Linked DNA regions of Rhinolophus ferrumequinum. The protein of the gene in region 2 interacts with the protein of the main gene of each other region in a pairwise test. Links are inferred from orthologs where the notes say so. Each region holds a gene or a part of one and is shown on either strand. Other genes may lie near its edges.

Region 1 (7,258 bases), on a different chromosome or scaffold from region 2:
TTGGTCTAAAATAATATTTAGGCAAAAATCCAATCGCATTCATTTAGCAAATATTTGCTGAGTATCTACTCTGATATAAGGCCCACAAGAGGCACATGTAAAATACAAGTAAATAGGGATTTACTTTCCAAAAGTTGGTCATCTGATAGAGGTGATAAGACATGTCAAAATTTCTTCCTATTAAATACCAAATGTTGATTTAGAGTATATATGTTCCAAGAACTGTCTAAGTGAATTCTATACCTTAAATCATTTAATTCTCACAACCCTATGAGATTGCCCCCCCCATTTTACAGATGAGAAAACTGAGACAAAAGGTTATAAAAATAATCAAGGTCATATGGTTATTAAGTAGCAGTGGCAGGGTTCAAACCCAGACCATCACCTCCAAAATATAAGCTTTTTAGTCACTATTCTATCTTGATTCTCTTAAAATAAAATAAAAAGTAAAAAATAATATAAGTATGTGTTTACTAGAGAAAAAATGGAATTTTCAGAAAAGCAAGAGAACATAAATCCTGAAATTCCGACTCCCTAACACAAGAGCTATTTAATATGAAAATACTACTTTCTAAAAACTTGAATTGTGATTGTACTGGGGGTGACAAAAAAATGTATACAAGTGGACACTTTGGTCAATGTTGCTCAAGCAGTAGTTCGCCATAATCAGAAGTGTCTGGATGCTGATGGTAACCACTTTGAGCACCTCTTGTAATTGCAGAAGTCAAACGTGGCTTGTATTCACCTTTTGTTATCAGTATATATTGAGTATTACAATGTTAATAGTTTTTTTCCTTTCTTAAAATGTGTATACATTTTTTTGGTACCCTCTGTATGTTGTAAGAAGGATATAAAGGTCTATAGAGGAAGGAAAGAGGATTTCTGGCTGGATCTTAAAGGACAGGGTGTGATGAGGATGTTGGGTCATTCCAGCCAGAAAGAATTTCAAGAACAGGAGCAATGATTCAAGGAGGTCCAGGGTTTATTATGGAAATAGGAAGGAGTTGTTTGGCTGGAGCACAGCCTTGAGCAATGAAGCTAGAAAACCAGAAAACTAAAGGCCAAGTCAGAAAGAGCACTGAGTCACTTTGTCTTTCATCTTATCAGCACTGGTAATACTGCACTGATTACCACTTTTCTCTCTCTCTCTCTCTTTTATTGGGGAAGGGGAACAGTGTGTTTTTTCCAGGACTTTGTTGGGCAACAGTGTGTTTTCCCCAGGACCCATCAGCTCCAAGTCAAGTTGTCCTTCAATCTAGTTGTGGAGGGCACAGCTCAGCTCCAAGTCCAGTCGCCATCTTCAATCTAGTTGGGGTGGGAGGGGCCAGCCCACCATCCCATGCTGAAGTCGAACCGGTAACCCTGTTGCTCAGAGCTTGCAATCTAACCAACTGAGCCATCCGGCCACGCCGGATTACCACTTATTTCTGTATCAATCTCCTCTATTAGACTGGGATTTCCAGTCTACATGTCCATTCATTCAATGAGTAGTTTCTGTGTACCAAGCACTGTGCTGAGCATTAGATTAAATGAACAATCTATATCTCTGCCACTAAAGGAATTCACAATCTAGTGGGAAGAAAATGTAAGATAGTTCTGATGGAAATATGAACAGTGTGGGTTTTTGTCACTTGCTACCAAAAACACCTAGCTAAAGCAGACTATTACCAACAAATCTGGCCATGGTCTCCCTTTCTATATGTCCACACTCCCACCATATAGAAGCCAGATCATAGGGAGAAAACAAAAGAGGTTCTTAAAAAAATAAAATCACTGTTATCAAATGAGGACTCTGTTAGGATCGACCAGATACAACTAAGTGGTGGGGGCCGGCCCGGTGGCTCAGGCGGTTAAAGCTCCATGCTCCTAACTCCGAAGGCCGCCGGTTTGATTCCCACAAGGGCCAGTGGGCTCTCAAACACAAGGTTGCCAGTTTGATTCCTCGAGTCCCGCAAGGGATGGTGGGCAGTGCCCCTGCAACTAAGATTGAACACAGCACCTTGAGCTGAGCTGCCACTGAGCTCCCGGATGGCTCAGTTGGTTAGAGCGTGTCCTCTCAACCACAGGGTTGCCAGTTTGATTCCTCAAGTCCCACAAGGGATGGTGGGCTGCGCCCTCTGCAACTAGTAATGGCAACTGGATCTGGAGCTGAGCTGCGCCCTCCACAACTAAGACTGAAAGGACAACAACTTGACTTGGAAAAAGTCCTGGAAGTACACACCGTTCCCCCAATAAAGTCCTGTTCCCCTTCCCCAATAAAATCTTCAAAAAAAAGAAAAGAAAAAACTAAGTGGCAAGTAAGACAATGACTGAAAAATGCCCATTGGATTTAGAAACTAAGACAGTGGAGATCTTGGTGAGAAAAGATTTTGTGGGAGGGTGGGCAGGGTGCAGAATCTGGATGATGGGTGCTGAGGAATAAAGGGATGGTGATGTCATGGAGACACTGAATAAAGACTGTTATTGTACCAGAACCCCTTTCTGAGTTGTTGGATGGTTCTTTGGGAGGGTCTGAGGTAACTTTAAAGTGAGATAAAAATAAATTTGTTTCAAATGGCCAATAAGCACATGAAAAGATTCTCAAAATCAACCAACAGGGAAATGCAAATCGAAATTACAATGAGATACCACTTCACACTCACTAGGGTGGCTGTAATAAAAAAGACAAATAGCAAACGTTATTGAGGTTGTGGAAACATTAGAACCCTCAGATATTTGCCAGTGGGAATATAAAATGGTGCAGCTGATTTGGAAAATAGTCTGACAGTTCCTCAAAAAGTTAAACATATAGTTACCATATGACTGTGGGGGAAGAAAAAATAATTTTCCTCCTACCTTTCTAAGTTCTTTTGGCAGGACTAATAATCGAATTAACATGAGACAGAGTAACAGAAGAAAATGACCAAATTTATTACGTATGTATATATATGAGGGCTCCCTAAGCATGTAGGACCAGAGTACAGATGGACACTTAAGGCTTATATACCATCTTGAGCTAAGGAGAAGAGAGGATTATAGTTGGGACTTCCAATGATATGAAGACAATTCACATGGAGATGAAAAAGCAAAAGTTTGGTAAATAAATGTTTCCTGGGTCATTTTAAACAATGGGACACAAAGAAAACTTTGATCAAAAGGCCTTGCTAGGTTCCTTCCTGTCTATCACACTTGATTCATATTAAATTATCGTTACGTATGATAATAGTTCCCATTTGGAGCAGGTTTTCTATCTAAATTCTTTTAGGCAATTAGGGGGAAGATTAAAGTTCTCTCAGAGTCTTTTATTTCTTGAAAATAACCAGCTTAAAATAGTATCCTAAACGGCATATTTTGGGGTGGTAACGTCTACTTCTCCTCATGACCAACCGGTACAGAAATATTCATAGCAGCATTATTCATAACAGGTAAAAAGTGGAAACAACAGAATGTCCATCAACAGATGAATGGATAAAATAAGGTATAATATATTCAAACAATGGAATATTACTCATCCATAAAGAGGCATGAAATACTGGTATATGCTACAATACAACATGGATGAATCTTGAAAACATCAAGTTAGGTGAAAGAAGCCAGTCACAAAAGACCATATATTGTACAGTTCCATTTATAGGAAACGGCCAGAGTAGGCAAATGCACATAAAAAGGTAGACCAGTTATTGCCAGGGGTTGGGAGGAGGGAGGAATGGCGAATGACTGCTAACGGGTACTGGTTTCTTTTGGGAGTGATGAAAATATTCTAGAATTAAAGAGTGGTGATGGTTGCACAACTCTGTGAACATACTAAAAAAACACAACACTGGAGCATTTTTTTAAAAGTGTGACCTCTATGCTATATGAAATATATGTCAATTTAAAATTACATTTTCACAATTGCAGCATTCATAGACGCTCCATGCTATCCAGGGAATGTAAACCAAAAGCAACAAATACAAGGCCAGCCACTCCCCCTCACAACCCGCACCCCACATACCCCCAAACCCCCATCCCCCCCACGCATACCCCCACCCCGTCCAGGGCCGCAACACTACCATCCCTGTGGGAGAAGCAAGGCCCGGATTGAGGGCTGTGACTGGGAGAGGTGATGACTGGGTGAGCTCTAAAAGAGGGCGGGGTGAAAAGGGGCGCGTCCAGTCCCTGTCGGCGAGGGGCGGGGCAGAGCGAAGCCTTCTCTCGCGAGATTATGCTGGTTCCGCATTTGAGATCTCTTAGGTGGGGGAGGCCGGCGAGGTGGGCGCAGCATCTTGCACCGGCTTATACCGGCTCGACCCCGGCTCGGAGCAGCAGAGGCCAGTGCTTCTGCTGTCGGCGGGCTGAGGACTGTGGGCTCCGTCCCGGTTTCCGCGCCGGCTCCGAATCCTGACCGCGGCGGGGGCCAGCGGCCCCTCCCGTCCCCTCTGAGGATAGAAGATGAGCTTCCTCTTGTGAGTGCGGCTCGGCTGAGGGGTCTAGACCTGAGTGCCGAGGGCGGGTAAGGGGGAAGAGCAGGGTCTGAGGCGAGGGCCGGACCCGGCGTGGCCGGCGCTTGCTTTGCCCCGGCTGGGGGCCACTGGGCAGGCCAGGACGTGGGCCGAGGCTGACGGTCGAGGCAAAGGAAGTGGAGCGAGAAGGCTGGGGAGCAGAAAGGCCCCGAAGCCGGTAGGGCCTCCAAACTTTTCCGCCTGAACGCCCCTGAGGTCGGAAGGACGATCTGGGGGCGGAGCCCCAGGCCCTACCGCAGGCTCCCCATTTCTCTAGGCTGGTGTCTTTTCTAGTAGCGATTCTTTGCTGACTTAGCTTTTTACTCCACCGTTTGTCCAGCTTTATTAACGTCAGTATTAAATGAACCCAGCGGGAAAATGCCGCCCCAGGAAAACGTGGAGTGCTGCAGTTTGAGAAGCATTGCTCTAACACCTTATTCTCAAGCGGCTCCCTCTACGTAGTATATTGCTTAAATATGTGTTGTATGGTTGGATAAATATCCATTTTAAAAAAGTTACGGACATCACCCACATACGTGACATTTTTATTAAACTTTATTAAGTTACATATTTTTTCATAACTAGAATTTATCTACATAGTTCCTTATTGTGAGAAATTTGGATTCTTTCGCTATTATAAAAGAGCACTACTGGAAATATCTTTGTCCAAATCGTTTATCCCCTCCTTTTGATTATTTTTTAAGGGTATAGGCTCCAAAGTATGTCAGAAAGTCTGTATGATTTAGATTTTAATTACAAATTTCTATATTACTACAGCAGTCCCCCAAGTCTTATGAGTTAATGTTTAGTTAGTGGTTTGTTTGTGGACGCACAGTTGCTTGGTTGCTCATTAGACCTAAATGTAAGGCTGTTTGTTTGTTTTAAACCTTGTTTTGTTGATGGACAGTTGAGTTTCCACTTTTGGCTTTTATGAATAATGATGCTATGAACTTTTGTGTACTACAGATTTTTGTATTGGATGTATGTGTTCGTTTCTATTAGCCATATACCTAGAAGTGGAATTGCTGAGTTACATGGTAACTATGTTTATTTAACCTTTTGAGGAACTGCCAAACTTTTTCAAATCACTGCACCATTTTGCATCCCACCGACACTGTTTGAGTTTCATTTTCCCAGCACCCTAGCTAGCATTTGTTAGTTGTCTTTTGGATTATAATCATCCTAGATGGTTGTGAAATGGTATCTCATTGTGATTTTAATTTACGGTTCCCTAACGACTGAGAAGGTTGAACAGCTTTGGGTGCTTATTGGCCATTTGTAAATTTTTTTTTGGAGTAATGTCTTCAAATCTTTTGACCATTTTTATTTTTAATTATAGTTGACAACCTTGGATCATTTTTAAATTGGGTTGTTTGTCTTTTTGTTTTTGAGTTGTAAGAATTCTTTATCCTGGATACAAGTCCCTTATAACATCTATGATTTGCAAATATATTTTCCTATTTTGTGGATTGTTTTCACTGTCTTTTTATTTATTTACTTTTTGGTTTTTCTTTTTTTGTTTTGTTTTCACTGTCTTGATAGTGCCATTTGAAGCACAAAATTCTTAATTTAGATGAAGATCATATTGAATCATAAGCCATCATTCTGTTAGTTTTCCATATGTAGCTTCCTGTCATTCACAGCTTTCTATTTGTGAAGGGTCATTCCTTCTAATTTAGTACTTCCCTATTAAATGTAGGTATTTAGCATGTTAAGAATTTTCCATGTTTGATTTTTACTGTTTTTGTTATTCCTTTTTACTTCTTAATCAGCCTTATTTAAAATTCAAATTACTCGGGTAAAGTGAAAGCCCACAGTTTTTGTTCCCTTACCCCTTCTTAGAAGTAATCACTGTATCTATTCTTTTTTTTTGTTTTAATTTTTTTAAATTTTTATTGGGGAATGTTGGGGAACTGTGTGTTTCTCCAGGGCCCATCAGCTTCCAGTCAAGTCGTTGTCCTTCAGTCTAGTTGTGGAGGGCGCAGGTCAGCTTCAAGTCCAGTCGCTGTTTTCGATCTTAGTTGCAGGGGACGCTCGCTGCCCACCATCCCATGCGGGAATTGCTCACCATCCAATGTGGGAATCGAACTGGCAACCTTGTAGTTAAGAGCTCACGCTCTAACCATCTGAGCCATCTGGCCGCCCCTAGGTGTATCGATTCTGACACTTGCAATGCATTTACAAAATGGGTTCTTGCTATACATTTGGATTTGTGTTTAACCATATCTTGAGATCTTTCCATGTGCATAGATGTAGTTCTATCTTGTTCTTGTATCTTGTTCTTAACTACTATATAGTACTCTATGATACAGATGTATCATGGACATATCATAGTTTTATTCATTCTTCTAATAAACCTTAGGATTGTTTCCAGGTTTTTTACCATTAAAAGCAATCTTGAAAAACGCATCCTTGTTTATATCTTAAGATACCTAGAAGTGGAAGGGACAGATTGAGGAGCATTTCAGTGTTAACATATACTGCCATATTGCCCTCCCCCAAACACCTAACACTTTCACCAATAGTGTATTAAAGTACGAATTTCTCTATAACACATTTAATTAGGTGGTTTTAATTTTTGACACTCAGATTAAGGAAAAATAAATCTTACTTTAATTAAACAGCCTTTCAGATGTTCGTTGCTCAATGTTATTTTTCCTTCTTAATTGCTTGTTCATCTCCTTAACCTGTTTTCCTAAAGGGTTCCTTACCTTTTTCTTAACAGATTATATTTTTATTATTCAGCCCATTGTTATCCAGTTTATTCTTTGTAATATGTGTTGCTAGTATTTTTTTTT
Region 2 (7,782 bases):
AGCGCAGGCACCGCCCCCTTCCTGCTTGTATCCGCGGGGTGTTCTTAAAGGGGTAGAGGCTGCTGCTCTACCGGAGCGGGGGCGGGGGCGGGGGCGGGGTGGAGGTGTCCCTGGATCAGTCTGTTTACGAGTCAGCGCCTCACCGCTGGTGCGACTCACCGCTCCCGTGTAAGCTTTTTCCTGCCCATCTGCGAAATGGGGATGAACACCCCAATCAACGCACTCTCCCCTTGGGGGCTGTTGGGAGGACAGTACTAAATGGTATTTCTTTAAGGAGATCAGGCCTGACGGTCAGGGCGGCTCTGGAGCTGCTGGATAATCTACCTTGAAGCCCTAGCTAGTTATGGATGAGGACCTGAGGCGCCTAAGGGCACACGGTACCCCTTCTCCCCTGTGTGGTCTGTCTAATCTCCGGGAACTTGCCTGACGCATACAGGAGGAGCTCAATAATGGCTAGGTGAGCTACTGAGCGAGCAGGGCCGCTGGGGGTAGTTACTCCTCCCTGTACCTTGTGCCAGAGAGTGATAAAGTGCCCATGGTCCCTGGAGAAGGTGGCTGCCTCGATTAGATGGGTTATTATGGATCTTGTTTTGAAAGGAGGGGCAATTATTCTTCCCTGGCTCTATTTTTTTTCCAGCAGTTACCACCATCCAGAATAATCTTGTTTGTTCTTTTGCTTCTTCTCCTTTCTTCCCAACTCTGCTCCTACCTAAAAGGAATTTTGCTTGATTTGTTCCCCACACACACACCTCCTTGAATGATGCCTAGCACCTATGGGAGTTCAGTAAATGAACTAATAATTGAATAAATGAATGAAACTGGCTTTGGAGGTAGCTAACACTGGAGGAGGTAACTAGTTTTTGGAGGGAACTAACTTGTTAGATCAGTGCTCGGAGGTCATCTCCTACAGGAAGACCTCCCAGACCTCCCCAAGGCAAGGCCAGGTGCCCCAATTGGCTGTTCCTAGACCCATGAACCTCCACTTCATAACTCACTGACTTTTATCCGTGCCATTACTTGCCTTACCTCTGCCCACTAGTCTAGGAGACCCTCAAAGTCTGTAACGGGTCCGTTGTTTCTCACTGTTTCAGTCCTGAGGCCTGCACAGTGCAGAGCACAAAAGGTGGAGGGTGGGAGGACTTGGGGAAATCATTGTGGAAGGAAGGAAGCAGGCTCATCAGCCAAAACAAATGGGAAAGCAGTGAGGATATATGAGGAATTGCCTAGGAAGAATATCAAACCCTGGGTCAATCCCAGTTCTGAGGGACTTGGACTATTACCTGTTCATCTCTGATCTTCAATGTCTTTATCTGCACCCATTCAGCCTTACCTCTTTCATGGGCTAGAGGAATTGTAATAAAAGATACTATACATAAACAACTAAAATAAATATAAACTAATAACATCAACAATTATAACAATAATATCGTGTTTCCCCGAAAATAAGACCTAGCCGGACCATCAGTTCTAATGCGTCTTTTGGAGCAAAAATTAATATAAGCTCCGGTCTTATATAATATTACGTAAGACCCAGTATTACATTATAGTATAGTATAGTATTATATATTATATATCTTATATTACATAAGACTGGGTCTTATAGTAAAATAAGACCGAATCTTACACTAAATTTTGCTCCAAAAGACGCATTAGAGCTGATTGTCCAGCTAGGTCTTTTCAGGGAAACACGGTGACAGCTGAGACTCCGGTGTCACAGGTGTAGGCAAAAACTGTGTATTTAATCCTCCCATCAGCCTTATGAGACAAATACTCTGATATTTGGAATCCACATCATTGGCTACGTACAGAGTTGCAATCGTTACATCTTCCTGGTGAACAGAACTTGTGATTGTTGTGACATGCCCCTCTTTATCTCCATGCTTCTGGCTTTTGAGTGGACTTTGATATTAAGATTGCACACCTATTCTCTTGGTTTATCTTTTAAAGTTTCCATTCTTTTCCACCCCTTATCTTCCACCTTTCGGTACCCTTATGTTGTATATGTGCCTCTTGTAAGCAGAATAGAATCAGGTTTTGTTTTTTGATCCATCCTGCCCATCTTTATCTTTTAATTGGGGCATTTGGTCTCCACATTTAATGTAATTACACACATATTTGGACTTAAATCTGCCCTCTCGTGTTTTTTCTCTGTAATACCTTCTCTATGCTCCTTTTCTCTCTCTTGCCTTCTTTAGAATTCGATGTATGTATTTTGGTAAGACTCTTATTATCCTTATTCTGCAGATGGGGAAATTGAGGCACAGAGAAGTTAATTAACTTGTTCAAGGTCACAGTGATGAAGGGCACAGTGGGCCTGGTATCTTACCCCATTGAGCTTCTATTCCAGCCAGGGAGCTGGATACTGCATAAACAATAATGCAGATAAGTATCTAACTGCAGCTATGATGAATGCTATGTAAGAAATAAAATTGGAAAAAGTGGCAGAGAAAGGTTTCCAGTGCCCAGACTTAGGCCTCCCCCACCACCAATGTCCCCATCACTGGGGCAACTGAGCAGTCACATCATTTCCCACCCTCTCCCTCAAACACACAAAGGAGGAAAATATTTTTCTTGTCTCTACTCCACTGTGCACAAAACATTTGGGGCCAGCCAAGTCCCTTTTGGCCTCAATGTGCAGCCCCCACCTCTTCCGGGACCCTCGTAAATGTTTCCTGGCCTCTAACAGAGCCCAAGGGACCCATTGAAAAGCTTGATTTCTTCAGCCTGGGCCTCTTCTGCTGCAGCCTGCAGACAGAGTCATGGTTCCACTTTCCCCAGCAGCCCCCACCAGTGCTCCCCTCTCAGCACTGGCTGCTACCTGGCTCACTGAGCTCTACAGTTCTTAAAAAGATCAAGTCCAGACTAAATGTTTTCCCACCACCCTGTCTTTGCTCCTGTGATTCCCTCAGCCTTGAATGAAAGTCAGCACCTAGAAAACTCCTAATCCTACCTCAAAACCCCATCCAGACATACTTTCTTCTTTGCCCTTAAAAGGAGTTCTCATACCCCCACTCTTAAGGTTCCTCCAGCTTTGAGTCTCTCCTCCCTCTAACCCAGCAGTGTTCCACTCAGGGTTGGGAGTGTCTGAGTCAGACTCTGTCTCCCTCCATCCTTCAGGGCTAGGCAGGGACTGAGTACTCTCTGGATTCCCAGAATATGGGCCAAATCCAGAGGGGGTGGCTAGAGGGTTACTGACAAGTTTTTTAGACTTTTGAACTAAGTGTTTAAGAGTCCTGGTCTGTATTAACTTTTCAGTGAATTAAGGCAGCAAAACATGCGGGTAATAATACAGTTTACCAAGGGCTTACAGTGGGCCAAGACGTGTAAAGAACTCACCTGCCTGATTTCATAAGGTTAAGCCACTTGCCCAAAGCCATCCAGCTAAGATGTGACAGAACTGGAATTAGAACTCAGATATATCCAATTCCAGAGCTCTTAAAGAGTCTTTCATGTGCCCCAGAGCATGGTATGTGTTTATCTCCCAAGCTTTCAAGAACCTTAAAAGGCAACTGTGGTGATCACCCAGGCTCACAGTTAACAAACTGAGACCCAGAAAAATTAGACGTATAACATACACACATTATAAGACCTCCATAACTAATGATAATGAATTGCTAATATTTATTAAGCAATTACTATTTTGTAATTGCCCCGTTTTGTTTATGGTTTTCAGTATATAGCCAAGGTGACAGATGTAGGAGTAAATATAGATGTGTGTATGCATAGGTTAGTAGACATACTATGTATTTGCTAACTCTGACAGCTGAGAGCGTGGTTAAGCAATGAGCACACCCAGCACCCAGACCTTGGTTTTTAAATACCATTCTCCAAGAACAGGAACCAGTGTCCTTGGAGAAACTGCTGATTCCAAGGATATGCCAAAGCAAACATGGAAAATCTTGTGCCAAAAGTAAGAAAGTACTTACTTTCTTACTTTCTTAGAGAAAGATGGAAGACATATTAAAGAACGTAGGTGATTCACTTAAAGGGGCAGCAAGATAAATAACAGAATAAAATTCTCATGAGTTCAGAGCAATATAAATGTGAATAAATACATAATTGGAGAGTGGACAGCTCTTGTTTAGCATAAATTCCAATTAATAATTAAATTAATAAATAGAAAAAAGTAAAAATTGTTGACAAGAGCCATGAATGGATGCTAAAACTTGTGGGTGTCAACTGCTTTTTAAAATGTTAAAAAAAAAAAAGTATTTGCATTGTCTCTTAAGTAGCTCCCCATAAGATACTTATTAATTAGAAAGGTGAAAACAGTGACTTCGTAGTTGAGAAACCGTCAAGACGCTGTCTTAAGCAAGTCGTCAGTCAACATCGCATGCCTCAATATAACGCATTGAGGACACAGCATCGCTTCTATGGGATTCCTGCCCAAATTCCTTAACTGCAGTCTAATCCGGAGGAAACACTGGATTAAACCCATATTGATGGGTTTTCTACAAAACCAGAAATCTTCAGAAGTATTAAGGTCATGAAAGAGTAGGAAAAGACTGAGGAACTGTCACAGAGTGGAGGAGGCTAAGGAGATGTAATTAAATGCAACGTGGGATCCTGGATGGTAATGGACCAGAAAAAAGTCAGCAACAGCAGAACACGGATTCCTGAACCCGGTGAATTTGATTCCCAGCCTGGAAAGCTCGGGCTTTGGAAGCGACGTAGGCGAGAGAGTGACTGCTTGATTGGCTTTGTGTTGTGACGCACAAGCGAAGAGACTAAACCCTCCCCCTTCCTGCCGCGCCTCCACGCACGCAAATCGGCCCTGGGCACGTCGCCGCCACGTGCGCATGGTGCGTGGTGACATCAGGGCGGCGCGGGCGCCATCCCGGAAGCGCGAGCAAGGCCGCCAGATGTGCAGGTGCCGCTGCCGCCGACGCCGGGGCCGAGTTTGGGGTGGGGCTGGGGCTGCCGGGGCCGCCGGGGAGCCGGGCCGGTTCGAGCGCGGCCCTGGGGCTGTCGTGGGGTGGGGCGCGCTTTTGGCCACATCTGGGCACCCCTCCTGCGCACAGGCCTCAGTTTCCCTGTCTGCTCAGTTGATCCAGGTCCAGGGTGCGGGAGTTGGGGCCGCCTGTGTCACCTAGAACCGGGCGTTGCCCTGGTTGGGCTTCAGTTTCTGCGCTTGGCAGGGGCGGGGTGTGAGGGGATATGCGAACCTCGCTCCCACTCCAGGGTTTTGCTAAGCTTGGGCCACCAAATTGAATTGTTAAATGCCCTGGGTGGAATCGCGTTGCCTCTCCGCCTGGCCGTTTTACCTTGGGCAATTGAGCCGGCCCCTGTGAGCCTTAGTTCTCCTCCGAGATGAGAGTGTTTGCCTCATAGGCGTGGTTGGGGATTAAATTTGCTCATGTTCTTGGAAACACCTTAGAGGGTCTCGTCAAAATGCTGATTCCCGCGCCCCAACTTAAAACGTCTTCAACACTCACCTTGGAGAAACAGCCTGCTCGGAATTAAGCTTATCACCGTTGGTTTCAGTCCCCACAAACAGGACTGTGAGATTGTTATTCCCATTTTCTGGATGAGAAAACTGGTTCAGAAAGGTGAGGTGACTCTCCCAAAGTCACACAGCCTCCCTCTCAGCGTGTTTCCCTCATAAAAAGAACAGATACCAGAGCGCTTGCTGGGTTATTTCCACCCTTACGTGGTCCACAATAGCTGTTAGGGAAGGCTTTCCTCAGAGAAGGAGCTGGCAGTGGAAGGATGTGCCTTGAATCTCACATATGGGAGCCAGAGACAGGAAAGAACCCAACTTTGAAGCAGAACCGTTTCCTGCAGGTCCAAATCTTGTGCCTGCCAGGCTTTAGTTGTGGGCTTCCCACCAAGGGACTGCCCTTTGAGCCCAAGTAGCCTCTTTATACGTGATCACACTTTTTTGGAAATGTGGAGACTGTGAATGTCTGTACCTGGCACATAGGAGCTCAAAAAATAGTACTAATTGGCAGGGCGAGAGGATTTCACCAGGTGTGGCAGCTTATTTCCAGAAGGCATGTAGGGGCTGCAAAGCACTAAGCCAAATTCATGGCATAAATACTCTTGGCCCCATGGTGTTTGGGGGAAAAGAGGGTTATTTGCTAAAATTTGCAAATGAGGTGATTTCACGGGGGAGGGGGGGATGCACATTTCTGGGTATTTTTCCTGGAAGCAATCAGAAGTCTGGCAGGAAGCAGCTGCTGTAAGAAGCAGCTGTGCTATCATGGGTGGATACTGAACATCTGTACAGGGTCACACCTTTGTGGATCCTGCGGACCGTGGATATTTGTGACTCAGGTTCACTGGCTACGTGACGATAGCTCAGTGCCTCAGTCTCTGAGCTTGTTTTCTCACATACAAATAAGGGTAACAGTTCCTATGTATAAAGTTGGTACCTTGTTTAGCTTACAGTAGGTGCTAAATAAAGAGGAGGGTGGATTAAGTGGGCTCTGAAAGCCCTTACTGATCCTGTGTGTGAATCTTAACCAATGGCAAGTGGGCCTTTCTGTCGGCCATTAAATATGTGGGCTCCAGAACCAAGCTATGTCAGGATTCTGGGTTTTTCCTGAAGCTCCCCACCAGTAGGGTCAGCGCTAAAGCTGTGGCCTTTCTTGCCCTGGCCTGATCCAGGAAGCCCAACCCACTGGGACGGTCATCTACATGCTAGGGAAGCTGAGAGCCCCACAGCTCTCTGGGTTGCTGAGGTCCACAGACTGGCTGCAAGTGCCTGAAATTCTTGGCTTTATTTGCTGTTAAAAGTTCAGCATTACAGCTGAGTTTGAAAGTCCTGTTTGCCTCTGACAAAGGAAGTTCTGGTGATTCCTTGCTGTGAGCCAGGTTCTGGGCTGGGCTCTGGAGACAGCAGTGAGCGAGGGAGACACATGCCTGTACTCTTTTGGAGCTGGCAGTGCTGTGGGGGTGACAGGCAAACAGGTCAACTGTTAACTAAGGGAATTTCAGGCAGAGGTGAGCCAGGGAAGCAACTAAAACAAGGTGATGAGAACGACCAAGGTAGGGATAGTCCTCACGGATCTCACGAGGTGAGGGTGATCCGACGGCACAGTGGTGCATGTTCCGCCGGGGGGACAGTAGGCTCTGAGCTGGGAATGGGCAAAGGCAAGGGGGTGTGGGAGGAGGTGGGCAGCTAGATCTGTGCAGGTGGACGGTGCCAGTGGCCCTGGGCATATGAAGAATGGGTGCTGGGGAGGGGAGATGGGATTCCGATGTGCTGGGGTGCAAGTTATAAATGTGACCTTCTGGAGTTCTCGAAATACCCCTGAATTCCTGGGATGACAAAGCTGAGGCTGAGGTGGCATGACCGACCCACTTCCAGGCAGCCTGTGGGGTTCCCGGCCCCTCCTGTCCAACCCCCCACCCACCCATGTGCCTGGTGCAGACTGCAGATTTTCTTCCCGTTTCAGGCAGCGGCGGAGGAGGAAGACATGGACCCCCCGGCCTCGGCCTCGAGGGTCTTCTGCAGCCGCATCCTGAGCATGGTGAATGTGGATGACGTCAATGCCATCATCCTGGCCCAGAAGAACATGTGAGTGGTGGCCAAGCAGCCTGGGCTCCAGGCGTGGGAAGGAATCCACTTGCCAGCCAGCATTGTTGCCCAGCCCGCCCCCTCACTGGTGATAAAATGAAGGAAATGAGCAAATTTGCTGGCCAGCTCCTAAGTAAATTCCTTCCTGGCCTGGAGGCGAGCCCTTGGCATAGGAAGCAGGGCTTTGAGATGGTTTCACAGCTGCAGAAGGCTTGGGGGGGCGGGGGAGGGTAGAGATGCATCAGCTCCTGTCCCAAGGC
Region 3 (6,986 bases), on a different chromosome or scaffold from region 2:
CTGCTGGTCTGTGGAAGACAGCCCCCACTTCTCCCTTGGCACGTGCTTCCCAGGGCTCCTACCCCAACACGGTGCTCACCATGGGCTGGCCCCCCCACAGTGACCTCTGCTACAGTCAGGCTGTCGTGGGCAGAGAGGAGGATGTGAGGGAAAGGGGTGCGTTTGCTGAGACTGGCTCAGTTTCAGGGCTGTAGGAGAGTCAGGGATCAGCAGCCTCTTCCCTGTCTGAAGCCAGAGGCCACAGGAGACACGTGGACATGGGGCTGGGCCATGATGCAGGCAGGCAGTCGGCTGGAGTGAGGGTGGAAACCCCTAGAAGTCCAGAAGCTGTGGGGGACAGGAGCACTCAGCCTCACAGGTGCCAGCCATGGCCAAGCCCTGCTCCTGGGAGGGTGGCACAGGGACAGACCCATGAAATCGCCCCTCCCCTGCCCACCTACCAGCTGAGGCAGCACCTTCTCCAGCTGTTCCACATCCACACGGGCCAGGTCCTCTGCCTGGGCCTGCCGGACACTGCGGATGGCCGCTTCTGCAGTGAAAAGAGAAGCAAGAGGTGCAGAAGGCTGGGGGGCTTGAACCCCAATGCCCCTGGGCCTCAGCCCCAGCTGCCTCCCTGCCCCTGCTGGCTGGCAGCTCAGGAGTCCAAGGTTGTGGCCCCTGAAACATGGAGCTTTCCAGGGACACAGAGCCTAAAGGGTAATGTGGGAAAATGCGTCACTTGGTTTCTCCACTGGAAAATGCAGACGGGACGAGCAGTCTGGGCAAGGTGGGGTCCTTCAGCTCACCCGAGACGAAGATCTTCAACAACTCTGCCATGAGCAGCAGTGCATCTCCGCCAACTGCAAGGTGGAGAGGCGCAGGTCACAGGGCTGCACCCTGCTGTCAACCTGCCCAGGGGCTGCAGGCTCCCCCACACCCCCACTTCTGACCTGGGTCCTCCTCGTCCCCGGTGGCCCACACAGAGCTGGCAGCCCCACCCCGAGCCCCGCTTCCAGCATCCCCATACTTACACACCTTTGGTTTTGTCATCTTTAAAATGCAGGTGCAGCAGTTTGCTCACAAGTTCCTGGGGGGACCAGCGGGATGTCAGTGGCTCACTGCCCCCCCCCAAATGCTGCAGACCCCTTAGGCTTTTCGTTCCGGGTGGGAAGGGGTTGTAATTTGTGGCCTGAAATGCCCTGTCCTCTGGGTGGGGGACTGGACGGTGGGAGAAACCTCCCTGTGGATGCCTCCAGGACCAGAAATTAGACACATGTGGCAGGCAGGTGGGAGCAGCCCAGGTGCCAGCCTGTCCCTCTCCTGGAATCCAGGAGAGAGTGGTGTTCCCTCCCCGGGGCCAAAGCACTCCCTGTGAGGGGCAGGAGGTGGCTGTTCCCATGCTGGGCCCCTCCACAGGTCTGTCCATGCCCAACACCATACAGCTTGCGCCAGACCTGGTTCAGGTGCCGGGTCAGTTCCATCTGCAGTCCCTCCCTGGAGAGGTGAAGGAAGGAGTCTTCCTATGAGATGAGTGCTCTGGGGACCACAGCACTGGGCAGAGACCTGGCTGTTTGGTCAGTGGGCGGTGGGCATGGAGAACAGAGCCCGGGGGGATCTGCAGGGCTTCCTGACAGACATGAATAGGACATGGGCAGGTCCAGGCCAAGACTCCACAAGGCAGGGGCTTGAGTCCCCAAAAGATGGGGCCACTCCACAAACATGGGGGCTGTGGGTGGAGATGGGTTCTGGGGACCAGGGACTCCGGAGCTCAACTTAGGACACGTGTGAGTGAAGGACATGCTTCAGATGCCCAAGCAAAGCAGCCCGGTGGGTGGCTGGAGCCGAGGGGCCTTCCAGAAGGTTGGAGCTGACGACGAAGATTTGGGAGGTGGCAGCATGTGGATGGACCATGAAAGGCTTCCCAGGGCAGGAGCCAGCAGAGCGCCTGGGGAGGCAGGAGGACAGCAGCAGCGGCGACCAGGAGCTCAGAAACAAAATGGACTGTTCTGCAGGGAAGGTGAGCTGGGGATTGGCCAGGCCTCCCCGTAGCCACGGGAGGTCACACGGCTTCGCCTGTGCAGCTGAGCAAAGCTCAGGAGCAGAGTGGAGTGGACACCGGTGTGGCCCAGGCTCAGAAGGATAAACTTACCACGTCACTAGGGGAAGACACAGGCCTGGCCGTCCCAGCAGTGGCTGCGTGAGCTTGGTGCCACCTGCTGGTCCTTCTTGCCACTTACCAGGAATGGCTCAGAAGGCTCTACTGCCCCACCTGCTCCCAGACTCCCAGGAAGCGCTAACTAAAGGGGTCAGTACCAACTGGGAGTGGCAATTTCCAAACAAACAAGTGACATGAACTCAGCAGGATGGGAACTGGGATGAGTTCAGCTTCTGTCCCACTGCACGTTGGCACCACTGCCCCTCCCTCCATCACCCTCATCCACAATGAGCACAGCTCTGGCCAGAGCCTGTGGCGCCAGGACTGCAGAGCTGTCCACGTCGGCCTGATGAAGGCCAAGCCCTGTGCTCCCCTCTCCAGCTGTTACAAGGTGTGTGTGTGTGTGGGGGGGAGGTGTCTCACAGCCACCATGGTGGATCACCCAGCCTCAATGACATCCCCTTTTAGGTGATTAACCCCTTCTGGGCCAGGGCTGAGCCACGATCCTGGGTGATAAAGAGGGGACTGAGGCAGCAGGTGAACCCGAAAGCAGTCCCCATGCCTCTGCAAGGCTGAAGTCCCCACTGGGGTCAGGAGGGACACAGGTGCTGAGAGCCTCCTTCCCTCCCCAGCTCACAAAGGTCCACAGGCCCTCCGCGCACACCTTCCTGATTCAAGGACTCAGTGCCACCTACCTTTAGGATAGAGCAACAAAGCCAGATTCATAAACTAGTCGCAGCCTCAGGCGTGGGAGCCAGTGGACATGCTACGCACCCAGTGCGGCACTCCCCACAGGCCTGCTTCGTTTCTCCCCGGGTAAGTGGGGATAGTACTACCTTCTCCTAGGGGTGGTAAGCGTTAAATGGGCTAATCTATGTCAGTGCACGTAACAGTGCATGACTGCGCCAGGGTGTTACTAAAAGGACTTGTAGCCCCCTCCCCCCCCACGCCAGACCGAACCTAGATAAACGTGCTGCCCCGAAACGCAGCTTCAGCTGGGCTTTAACTTGGCTCAGGTGAGACACACAGCACAGGGCTCGAGTGACGGGGCAGACCAAAGGAAGCTTTAGGCTATGCGGGTATGTGGCAGTGTCAGCGCGCTGGGCGGAACGGTGCCCTACGCCAAGCGGTTTAGGGAAAAGAAAAGCCCCGCCGGATCCGCGGCAGCGGGGCGTGGCCGGCAGGCTCAGGCTCCTCTCTGAGGTCCCCTGCATTTCCGCCGTCGCGGCGCCCACCTCTGCCCGCCCAGTTTCTGCAGACCCGCTCCCTCTTGCCCCAGACCACTCGACCTTCTGCCACCGGGCCGCGGGACTCCACCCCGGAGGGCGAAGGACGCGCGGGGTGGGGTCGTGGCTGGATTCTGGGAATGGGCTCGCCCTAGAAGGCACTCGCACGCAGCGCCGGGGCTGGCCCAAGGCCTACACGTGTGTCACGCGTGGGGTCCCGCCGCAGTGTCCCCACCACCATCATCCGCCCCCGCATCGTCCCCTTTCTCACTTTCCGGAAGCCAGAGCTGGTTGCCTCCATGACCCGCGCCGCGTCGCGCGCCCTCCGCAGCCCCGGTCCCCCGCCAATGAGCCCTGAGCGCGCCTTTCCAGCCCCGCCCCCGATCCTCCAGCCAATCACCCCGGAGCGCGCCCTCCGAAGCCCCACCCCTATTCCCCCCATCCAATGGGCCGTGAGAGCGCTGCCTTGGCTCCACCGGCTGGAGGCCCGCAACGCGTGCCCGTTCCTCGCCCTCATTAGCCCGCGGCGAGCGCCCCTCCTCCGCAAAGTCTCCTGGGAGTTGTAGTTTCTGCCAGCCTTTCCCGGCGTTCCCTGCTCTTCCTGGTTACTGAGGCGCCGCGGCGGGCACCGCCGCCGGGAGCAGGGGCCGGTGGCGCGACTACTGGGGGCGCGAGGGTACGCGCGATGCCTGGACCGGCCCCGTCGCGGGAGGCCCTAGCCCCGAGGGATCTCCGTTCCCGCGTCGGCCCCATGCTCGGGCGGTCCTCTGGCCATCCTTGCACTCCTGGGGCCGCCCGCGTGTAGAAACAACTCAGTTTGTTCTTCGTTCCTCGGCTGCCGAGGTCGGACCTGGGGTCGTTGAGCCCCACATTGAGCTGCTCGGAGTCCCTGTCTGCCCCCAGGGGAGAAGCCCTGCCCTACTGCCAGCAGGAGAGCAGTCCCGCAGCGGGGCCAGCAGTCCCCTTCCCCCAGCTTCGGCTTCCCGCGTCGCTGGCTGCTGCCACACGGTGAGGTCTGGCTCTAGGAGCGTGCTGAGGCAGCCCTGCTGGCACCCCAGGGACATGGAGGAAATCCGGCGCTCCTACAGCCGGCTGTGCAAGGAGAGTGGGGCCGAGCCCCAGGAGACTGTCCTTCAGCGCCTGCACGAGGTGCCGCGGGGCCGGCTGGACCTGGCCACGCAGAGCCTGACAGCTGACACCTGCGGGGCCCTGGGCAAGCTGCTGCAGAAGGAGGCTTTTGTGACTGAGCTCGTCCTGAGCGACTGCATGCTGAGCGAAGAAGGTGGGCACCATGGGCGGCTGGGGCCGGGCAGCCCTGGCAACCTCATAGCCGGCTTGGGTTCAAGCCCTTTGCCTCAGGGCAGCCTTCCCTGGCTTTGTCTGCCCCCTGCTCCACTGCTGCACCATTGCATCTACCTCTTTGGGCGGACTCCCCCCTCCCCCTTGTGCTCTATAGTTAAGGCAAGCAGCAGGGTCCCTTGAAACCTGGGAGCAGAGAGCAGTTTCTCTTTGTAAAAGAGAAGCCTTAGCATCCCGCCTTAGGAGAGTCACAGTGTGCTCTGGCCACCAGGGACAGAGAGTGACTGCTCTGCCCCTCACAGGGGCCATACTGCTGCTCCAGGGGCTGTGCGCCAACACTGTCCTTCAGTTTCTGGATCTAAAGGTGAGGTGACTGCCTTTGGACATGCCACCTGAGGGGAGGGAGGCCATGGGGTGTGGGCAGTGGCCAGAGACACCGTTTGTAAGTACTGTTGGCACACAGGGTTCCGTGCCGTTTCCTGGTGGTCTCGTGAATGTGTGGGGGTTTGGAGGGTGGGAATATGAGTTCCAGAGTGTCCCCGTAAGCACACTGACCGAGCCCACAGCAGGAGTGCAGTCAGGGAAGGAAGCGTCTGAAAGGAGCCAGACCTTCTGGCCAGAGTTTATGCTTGGCCTCAACCCCGCCTGCAGGGCCTGTCGGAGTACACGCGCCCGAGCCTGGCCAGGACAATGTGCCTGCTCTGTCTCTTCCTGTCCTAGGGCAATAACCTCAGGGCTGCAGGGGCCGAGGCTCTAGGAAGACTCCTCCGACAGAACAAGTCCATTCAGAGGTAAGGTGGCGTTGGCCCCACCCGCCCCCAAACCCCTCTTTCTCTGCAGGTTCAGGCTTGGCCCCAGAGGACAGGGTTCTGCAACCCAAGAGTTCATTCCTTCACTCCTTCCGGCCAGTTGTCTGTTTCCCATCTGTCCATCTGCAGGGAGTGGACGGGTACAAGATACTCACGGGACTCAAGGCTTCCTGCCGGAGACCCCAGGCCTGCGTCCCTCCTCAAGCCCCCTGGACCCTGTGGGAGCAGGGCACTCCTGGGGCCACGCAGCTCATGTCCACCCTTCCCACAGCCTCACCCTGGAGTGGAACAACTTGGGCACGTGGGAAGATGCCTTCGCCACCTTCTGCGGCGCCCTGGCGGCCAACAGCACCCTGCGGCAGCTGGACCTACGCAACAACCAGATTAGTCACAAGGGTGCAGAGGAACTGGCCCTGGCCCTGAAGAGCAACACCAGCCTCCAGCAGCTGGGTGAGGCCCGGCAGACCACTGTCTGGCTTCCCAAAGCAAGGGGTGGCGAAGCGGGTGGGGAGAACCAGGCTGGCTCCTGCTCTTTGGGCGATTCCCCCAGGGAAGCTTTTGGGCTGGGCCCGCACCCCAGGTGCCTTCCGTCTGGTGATAACAGGTATCTCTTCCAGACTTGCGCTGGAATAACATCGGCCTCCTGGGTGGCCGTGCCCTGGTGAGCTCTCTGCCGAGCAACAGAACCCTGTGGAGGCTGGAGCTGGCTGGGAACAACGTCCCCAGTGATGTCCTCAGAGCCGTGGGTAGGGGCATGCATAAAGCCGGAGGCCCAGGCTCCAGGGGGCATGCAGACGCATCCTGAAGGCAGCCTAAATTAGAAACAGAGGAAGAGGGAGGGTGAGAGCTCGCAGAAGGAGAGGTGGCAGCGGGCTGGCACGGCACTCACTGTCTGTTCTTAAATCCACCAAGGTGGGGTGGGGCAGGGTCACCCATTTCACAGATGAGGAAGCTGAGGCAATGTGGCTTGGGGCCTTGCCCTGATGGCTGTGCTGCTGCCTCAAGTGGCATCTGCCCTCATCACACTTGAGTTTGTGGCTGTGCCCAAGAGCCATGTGGGAATGGGGCCACCAGGTCCAGGCCACAGCCTGCACGGTCCCCTCCTGTCCATGACCTGGACACCTCAACCCCAGTCCCAGCAAAACACTCTGCCACTCCCTGTGGTTCCTCATCCTGCCCACAGCACCAGCGACCCAAGGGCCCAAGCTTTGGCTGGAATTCTGCGCAGGTCACCACCTCCCTTTGGGTCTACCCGACCTGTGTCATCTCCAGCTTCTCCATTCTTGGCCTACCTCTGGGTCACCCCCGCTGTTGTAATAGTGTGACTCCACAGCAGCCTCTGGCTGGTCCCTCTCCAAATGCTGCCTGTTAAAAGTCATACAGCCACCTTTGACCTTTGGGAGGGAGCCCAAGTGCTCCTCTCCATGTGCATGCCCCCTGCACCTGGTGCCTCCCAGGTTCCTGGCCCCACTGTCGCCCCCACCCCACCGCCACTGAAGGCTTTCATCCCTAGTGCAC

What was found.
Region 1: the proteins of KXD1 (region 2) and MOB1A interact in binary tests that used the Homo sapiens proteins (3 or more experiments, as listed by UniProt). The two-hybrid records come from large-scale screens. The link is inferred for Rhinolophus ferrumequinum from reciprocal best matches to the Homo sapiens genes KXD1 and MOB1A.
Region 3: the proteins of KXD1 (region 2) and LRRC45 interact in binary tests that used the Homo sapiens proteins (3 or more experiments, as listed by UniProt). The two-hybrid records come from large-scale screens. The link is inferred for Rhinolophus ferrumequinum from reciprocal best matches to the Homo sapiens genes KXD1 and LRRC45.

Annotation. Positions count from the first base shown.
Region 1 is NC_046296.1:17,799,082-17,806,339, forward strand, and holds the start of MOB1A (MOB kinase activator 1A), read left to right. Parts: upstream 1-4,173; 5' UTR 4,174-4,410; coding exon 4,411-4,424; intron 4,425-7,258. UniProt on the Homo sapiens protein: Activator of LATS1/2 in the Hippo signaling pathway which plays a pivotal role in organ size control and tumor suppression by restricting proliferation and promoting apoptosis.
Region 2 is NC_046301.1:51,278,755-51,286,536, forward strand, and holds the start of KXD1 (kxDL motif-containing protein 1), read left to right. Parts: upstream 1-4,747; 5' UTR 4,748-4,870; intron 4,871-4,882; exon of another isoform or gene 4,883-4,905; intron 4,906-5,019; exon of another isoform or gene 5,020-5,549; intron 5,550-7,400; 5' UTR 7,401-7,421; coding exon 7,422-7,522; intron 7,523-7,782.
Region 3 is NC_046304.1:54,767,976-54,774,961, forward strand, and holds the start of LRRC45 (leucine-rich repeat-containing protein 45), read left to right. Parts: upstream 1-3,934; 5' UTR 3,935-4,422; coding exon 4,423-4,642; intron 4,643-4,961; coding exon 4,962-5,023; intron 5,024-5,379; coding exon 5,380-5,450; intron 5,451-5,739; coding exon 5,740-5,918; intron 5,919-6,085; coding exon 6,086-6,214; intron 6,215-6,986. Other genes in the region: CENPX (centromere protein X), read right to left, coding at 313-327, 441-529, 786-839, 1,015-1,066, 3,632-3,877. UniProt on the Homo sapiens protein: Component of the proteinaceous fiber-like linker between two centrioles, required for centrosome cohesion.